Linked DNA regions of Cricetulus griseus. The protein of the gene in region 1 interacts with the protein of each later gene in a pairwise test. Links are inferred from orthologs where the notes say so. Each region holds a gene or a part of one and is shown in the gene's direction. Other genes may lie near its edges. The genes, in order: protein NPAT and Hinfp.

The links.
Region 2: the proteins of protein NPAT (region 1) and Hinfp interact in a two-hybrid assay, tested with the Homo sapiens proteins (2 studies listed by BioGRID). The link is inferred for Cricetulus griseus from reciprocal best matches to the Homo sapiens genes NPAT and HINFP.

Annotation. Positions count from the first base shown.
Region 1 is NC_048597.1:165,283,105-165,286,927, forward strand, and holds part of protein NPAT, read left to right. Parts: coding exon 1-770; intron 771-3,823. UniProt on the Homo sapiens protein: Required for progression through the G1 and S phases of the cell cycle and for S phase entry. Activates transcription of the histone H2A, histone H2B, histone H3 and histone H4 genes in conjunction with MIZF.
Region 2 is NC_048597.1:155,984,390-155,988,062, reverse strand, and holds the end of Hinfp (histone H4 transcription factor), read left to right. Parts: coding exon 1-73; intron 74-157; coding exon 158-296; intron 297-372; coding exon 373-497; intron 498-1,637; coding exon 1,638-2,049; 3' UTR 2,050-3,046; downstream 3,047-3,673. UniProt on the Homo sapiens protein: Transcriptional repressor that binds to the consensus sequence 5'-CGGACGTT-3' and to the RB1 promoter. Transcriptional activator that promotes histone H4 gene transcription at the G1/S phase transition in conjunction with NPAT.

The DNA of each region.
Region 1 (3,823 bases):
AGATGGAGATACTATTTTTCTCTCTTTGGGTGAACATAACAGCTCTGAAGAACTTGCACTGGTTCCCCAAGAGGGTAACCCTATGAAAAATAATCATTCGCTGCCTTCAGAATCTGGTGGTTCAGTGGGAGGTTCTCTTGAGACCCAAAATATTGATGGTAAACCTAGCAAAGACTCAGTGGATGTAGATGCATCAAGTATTGTCTCTCTCAAAATTATCATTAGTGATGATCCATTTGTTTCCTCAGATGCAGAGCTCAGCAGCGCTGTATCTAGTATCGGTGGAGAAAACTTGCCAACGATAATTCTGTCTTCTAAATCTCCCGCCAAAAATGCAGAATTTGTTACATGCCTGTCTTCAGAAGAAACTGCGAGTGCTGTTGTATCTGTTGAAGTAGGGGATTCTGGCTCAATGGAGCAGAACCTTTTAGTACTCAAACCTGAGGAACCAGTAGTAAACAACCCTCAGAATGAAGATAGCATTGCATTTTCAGCCAGTGTTGCACCATGTGTTCCTAAGGATGGAGGATACATACAGTTGATGCCTGCCACAAGCACAGCCTTTGGCAATTCAAGTAACATTTTGATAGCTACCTGTGTGACTGATCCAACAACCTTGGGACCAACTGTCAGTCAATCTAATGTAGTGGTATTGCCTGGGAATTCTGCACCTATGACTGCACAGCCTCCTCCACAGCAATTACAGACACCACCAAAGTCTAACAGTGTATTTACTGTCAACCAAGCTGTGTCGCCAAACTTTTCACAAGGTAACTCTAAGAGCATATTGGAGGTGAGCTGGGGATATAGTTCATTGGAAAAGCACTTGTATAACATGTACAAGGCTGTGGACTCTATCTCCACCACTGAATGAAAAGAGATGCATGTATGTATGTGTGTATAATTTATATGTGTGTGTGCACACATATTTTGGAGCTTCTCTGGATTGCAATCTTAATTTTCTTGTGTGAAGTCACTGACTAGGTAATAATATAGATAGTTCCTATGACAAAATACTATACAAATAATTGCTTATGCATCTTTCTTGCTATCCAGTTCAGCCAGATTTTGTTTAAATCTGGTAGGCTGTAGCTTTATTTTTTTTTTTCTTTGCGAGTTTTTAATGTACAACACTAAGCTGTAAAAAAGAAAAAGCCTAATTCATTGCATACCTATATATATGCTTCAACTCGATCTAGCAGGGTATTTCTTTATTTTTACTTTAATCATGGTTCTTTTGCAGGATGGAGTTCAAGACAGGGTTTCTCTGTGTAGCCCTGGCTGTCCTGGAACTTTCTGTATAGATCAGGCTGGCCTCAAACTCAGAGATCCACTTGTTTGTCTCTGTCTCCCCAAGTACTGGGATTAAAGGCATGTGCTGCCACCTCCTGGCTCTAGTTTAGAGAGACTTTCAAGAAAACTTAAATTCTATAAAACCCATTCTAATTACTCATGTTCTGGTGCTATTTAGAAATGATTCAAGTTGGGGCTGGAGAGAGAGCTCAGTGGTTAAGAGCACTGGCTGCTCTTCTAGGGGACCAGGGTTCAGTTCCCAGCATCCACATGGCAGCTCACAGCTGTCCATAACTCCAGTTCCAGAGGATCTGACACCTTCACACCAATGCACATGAATAAAATTAAATAAATTTTTAAAAAGAGAGAAAAATAATTCAAGTCTTTAGAGACTTCCCCAAGGGCTCTTGTCTTCATTGTATGTTGCTTTACATACAGTTAACAATCGGCAAAATTATCATAGCAATCAAAGAATTCACACATATTCACCTACATTCCCATTGTACTGATATATAGACAATGAAATCTGATGAAATATTATCAACTAAGCATTAAATTTGGTGAATCTATTTCAAATGATGGAAAGGCCAGAATTGCTGAAGAATATGAAGCTTGCATTAAAACCTAGAGAAAAGAGGTAAGATTTGAAGCCAAGGGAAGTAGAATAAGTATTCCTGGATACTTGGCAGGTTTATGTGAAAATAAGATCTTACAGGGATAGTTAGCCTTTTAGGTAAAGGTGCATTTACTACCAGGACTAAGTTACTATAGCTTTTCTTGTGGTTGACTCCTAAGGACCATGTGGTCACTCTAATTTTCCCTAGGTAGATTAATCTGGTTACAAAAGTATGTTCTTTTTGCCCAGTACCATTAAGATATAATACATTGAGTAAATGGTTAAGGGCTATAAGTACTCTCTTGGAATCCAAGTTTTCTTCTATAAGTTCAAACAGAACAGTCACTACTCAGTTCCTAATTAGTTTCAGTCTTTGTTAGAATAATCAGTGTGTAATAGGATCTTCTAGCCAGAGAGTCTTGAGCTTAGGATAATATCACTAAATGCCCTACATCTTAATATTTAGATTTGCTTTGTTTTGAATTCTTAACTTTTATTACTATACTTGATCAAAAAAAAAATTGGGGGGGGGTGGAGATTTTCGAGGCAGGGTTTCTCTGTGTAGAACCCCTTTGGAGCCTGTCCTGGAACTAGCTCTTGTGGTTACTATTTTTGTGATGAAAACACCATTACCAAAAGCAACTTTGGTGGGGTAAAGGGTTTATTTCACTTACAGTTCCATATAGTAGTTCATCATCAAAAGCAATGAGGGCTGAAACTCAAGGCAGGGACCTGGCGTCAGGAATTGATGCAGAGGACATAGAGGGGTGTTGCTTACTAGTGACCCCCACCCTGGCTTGCTTATCTTGACTTGCTCAGTCTGCTCAGGAATGGCACCACCCACAATGGGTTGGACCGTCCCACATCAGTTACTAACAAAATGCCTACAGGCTTGCCAATCTTAAAGAGGCAGTTTCTCAATTGAGGTTCTGTCCTTTCAGATAACTAGCTTGTGTCAAGTTGACATACAACTAGTCCGCACAATAGACCCATTATCACCTTGACACACAAACACATCACTGTTAAGCCATAACCTTTCTTTTCTTATACTTCCCAAAGATCACACATCAACATTACAATATAATCATTCCAAAATTTTAAAGTCCCATAGTCTTTAAAAATAGATTCTCTTAGGGTCGGAGAAATGGCTCAGTGGTTAAGAACACTAGCTGTTCTACCAGAGGGACCCAGGTTCAATTCCCAGCACCCACATGGCAACTCCCAACTGTCTGTAACTCCAGTTCTAGGGGCTATGACACCCTCGTGAATATATATACAGGCAAAACACCAATACACATAAGTTTTTTAAAAAATAATAATAATTCATTCTCTTTAAAATAGGCAATCTTTTAAAATCTGGACTTTTAAAATTCAGTGTTTGAATTGTATGCTCCTATCAAATCAAAAAATAGTTACTTCAGGAGGGAAGAACCAGGGCGTAGTCATAATCTGAACAAAGCAAAACCAAACTTACAATATTAATCATTCAATGTCCAGTGTCGGAGATTCACTCACAATCTTCTGGGCTCCTCCAAAGTGACCCAAAAGGCTTAGGTCTCTTCTCAGGCTCTGCCCTCTGCAGCACACGTAGCTTGTCTTCTAGACTATGGCTGGCTCCACTCCACCACTGCTGCTATTCTGAGTGGTCATCCTATATTGTTGGCATCTCCAAAACTGCTGGGGTCCCTTGCTGCAACTGAGCTGCACTTTCAATGATAGCCTCTCCTGGGCTTCTTCAGGGACTCCAGTCTTGCCATACAGTGCCAAGCCTCGGTTGCTCTCCATGACCCCTTCATGCCTTCAAAACCAGTACCAGCTGGGTGACTCTTAGACTACCAACATTGGCAACTAGTATGAGGTACAACCTTGGCTGCTTCTGGAATACAGCTTCCGTGTGCTGACCCCAAGGAAATC
Region 2 (3,673 bases), about 9.3 Mb from region 1:
CCTCCCTCCGAAATCACATGCGCTTTCGACACAGTGAGGACCGGCCCTTTAAATGTGACTGTTGTGACTACAGGTAAGCGAACCCAGGGGTCAAAATACAGGGCTCAAGTTTCAGGGTTCCCTGTGCTCTTCAACCCCTCCTGATTTCTCCTGGCAGTTGCAAGAATCTGATTGACCTCCGGAAGCACCTGGACACCCACAGCAAGGAGTCAGCCTACAGGTGTGACTTTGAGAACTGCAGTTTCAGTGCCCGATCTCTTAGCTCTATCAAGTCCCATCACCGCAAAGTGCATGAAGTAAGTGGCCGGTGGGCGGGGTTCTCGGGAGTGTGAGTGAAAAACTGACCTCATTGCCTTCTCCCTTCCTCATCAGGGAGACTCAGAGCCAAGGTACAAATGTCATGTCTGTGACAAATGCTTCACACGTGGCAACAACCTCACTGTGCACCTTCGCAAGAAGCACCAGTTCAAGTGGCCGTCAGGACACCCTCGTTTTCGGTGTGTATAAATCTTTCCCTCCAGATTTATACCTTGTTTTTGTTTATTACTGTGTGTATATGGGGGTGGGGCTGCCAGTCCTTTAGAGGTTGAGACACAACTTGTAGAGTTGTTTCTTTCCTCTGTTGTGTGGATTCCAGATATTGAACTCAGGTCATCAGGCATGCATGGCAAGCATTTTACACTCTGAGCCATGACAGACTTTTTAACAAGGAAAAAAAGAACCCAACTTTGAACTTTATGGTACTTTGATGCTACCATCTATGACTAAGCTATTAATCTGTGTATTTTTACATGGTCTTATCTTACCGGAGAAAGAGTGTGGACCTGTTAATCCTTTCATGTCAAACATGACTGACTCTGCCTACATTTCCCAGAATCCTCCTCCTCTCCTAGTCCCACCTATCTTGCTTCCCTGTTGGCCAACAGTATTTTATTCATCAACCAATAAGATAAACATATACAGAAGGACAACTCCATCAGAGCAGAGGTTTTTTTTGTTTTGTTTTGTTTTGTTTGTTTGTTTTTGTTGTTCTTGTTCTGGAACATTGTTTGTAGACCAGGGTGGCCTCAGACTCACTGAGATCTGCCTACCTCTGTCTCCTGAGTTCTTAGATTAAAGGTGTGTGCCACCATGCCTGGCTCTTATTTGTTTTTTGAGACAGGATCCCTGGCTGGCCTAAAGCTTGCTATGGAGACCAGGCTGGTCTTGAACTCATAGAGATCTACCTGTCTCTGCCTCCAGTGAGATTACAGATATGTGCCACCATGCAAGGCTGTGGTTTTTCCAGTGAAGCTTGGTTTCAGATTCAACAAGTAATGCCAAAAGTACAGCAGCCAGAGCAATAATTAAAAGCTAAGGGTCCTGACTTTCAGCCCCCTGACCTTCTCATAAACTTTGACACTTTGGCCTCTTACAGAGTCAACATCAGTCTCTATTGGGTTGGGCTTCTCCATTAATTTTTCCATTTTGAGTCCTCTCTTCTGACCTTTCTTCTATGTATGCCATTAAAAACCTTTTCTTAAGCTTCAGTCCTGTCACAGAGAGTCCTAAGCTGTCTTCCAGCTAGCATATTTATATCTTCACCCTCTGTGTCCAGGCCATTTCTTCATCCTCTGCTGGTCTGCTGCCTTCTCCAGGTACAAGGAGCATGAAGATGGCTACATGCGACTACAGCTAGTTCGCTATGAGAGTGTGGAGCTCACACAGCAGCTGCTGCAGCAGCTACAGGAAGGATCAGATCCAGGAGTAGCACTGAATGAAGGCAGCCTGCAGGGCATCGTTCTAGAAACAGTGCTGGGAGGGCCAGGACCTGAGGAAGAGATGGAAGAGGAAGACAGGGTTGAGGGAACAGCCATCTCGGCTTCTCAGGACAACCCCAGTTCTGCCATCCATATGGTCAACCAGACAGTCAGCCAAGGCCAGCGAGAAATGGTCTACTATGTGCTATCTGAAGCCCCAGGAGAGCCCCCACCAGTCTCTGAACTATCCTCAAGAGAGATGGAAAAACTTCAAGGAATGCCTGAGAAGCCAGAGATCCAGATGGTTTGAGGCTGCAGAGCCTGACCACTTCTCCAGATCTTGGAGTTTGAGCCAGGCAGGTAGCAGCTCCCCCAGGTGGGCAGACTTTGATTTTGGATGCCTTTAGAAGTGGTGCTGAGAACAGTATGTTCCCCTGTGACTCAGGTGGCATCGGTCTATAGACTGTGAGTAACCCCCCCACCACTAATGTTCTTTGTGGGGAACCTGAGGAGGTGGATTCATTGAAGAAATCCTACATGTATGTTCTCATTAGAGGAAATGTTACCAGGTTTAAATATACTCCCTTGGCATGCTAGACAGAGTAAATGTTTAGTTTAGTCTACATTCATTCCTGTTTTTAGGGGCCCATTGGCCCAGGGATGATGAGTGGCTGTTCCTTATGAGAGCTGTCTCCTCACTATAAGTTAAGCATTGAGAACCAGGTGCCATTTCTCTCAAGGTTTCCTTTTACATTCCAGGGACACTTGTGGTTATCTTCAGGGATAGGATTGGAGACACTGTGTATGTATGACAGTTGTTTTTTGGTAATAAAGCACTTGGGCTGTTACTTATTTATCAAGTTTTGTGACAGTTAACTAGGTAACAAAGAGAAACAGCTGTCTAGAAGTGGAGCTAAATCATTAGGCTTACCCCTTTCATGACCAGGGTGGTTTCTTTAAGTGTCATGTACTCATTTACTAGAGTTTGTCCATTGCTTCCTAAGCATCTACCAGCTTTGTGGAAGGAGGCCCCAAGTACTTGTCCATTAGTGACTGAGCAGTGTTACAGAATGGGTATGAATGGCACCAGGACTGCACCATCAACTCTTAATTAGAACCCCATACCTCTAGGGTGGGTTGGGGTTCTGGGACTGCAAAGGAATCTGAAGTAGAGTTAGGTTGGGTGGTCACCCAGAGAATGCCTAGTACTCAAGGGACAGGAGTCAAGTTAGAAAATTGTGTCTATACATTTTCCTAGAGAGTGGATCTATTTTCATTGAATTAAAAAAATTCTTATGTATACTATACATATATGTTTGTTTACTTTTGTTTTATGTGTATGAGTGTTTGTCTACATGAATGTAAGTATACCATAGGCTTGCCCATGGAGGTCAAAAGAGGTGACTGGTCCTCTGGAACTGAAGTTACAGACAGCCGTGAACTACCATGTGGGTGCTAGGAACTGAATCGGAGTCTTTGTAAGAGCAATGCATGATCTTAACTGCTTAGCCATCTCTCTAGCCACTTTCATTGGATTCTTAAAGAAGTTGAAACTCCTTAAAATAATCTTTTTTTTTTTTTTTTTTTCGAGACAGGGTTTCTCTGTGTAGCTTTGGAGCCTATCCTGGCACTTGCTCTGGAGACCAGGCTGGCCTTGAACTCACAGAGATCCGCCTGCCTCTGCCTCCTGAGTGCTGGGATTAAAGGCGTGAGCCACCAACGCCCGGCGAGAAACCCTGTCTTAAACAAACAAACAAATGACTATGTAGTGTATATGTGAGCATGTGTTTGTGTCTGCAGGCACACGGTCTGCCTTGTGTGAGCATGTTGTGTGTGGAGGCCAGAGATCAGTGTCGGCTGATGTCCACTTTATTTTTTGAGACAGTTATACTGAGTCCAAACTCACCTATTAGCTAGATTGGTTGGTTGTCCAC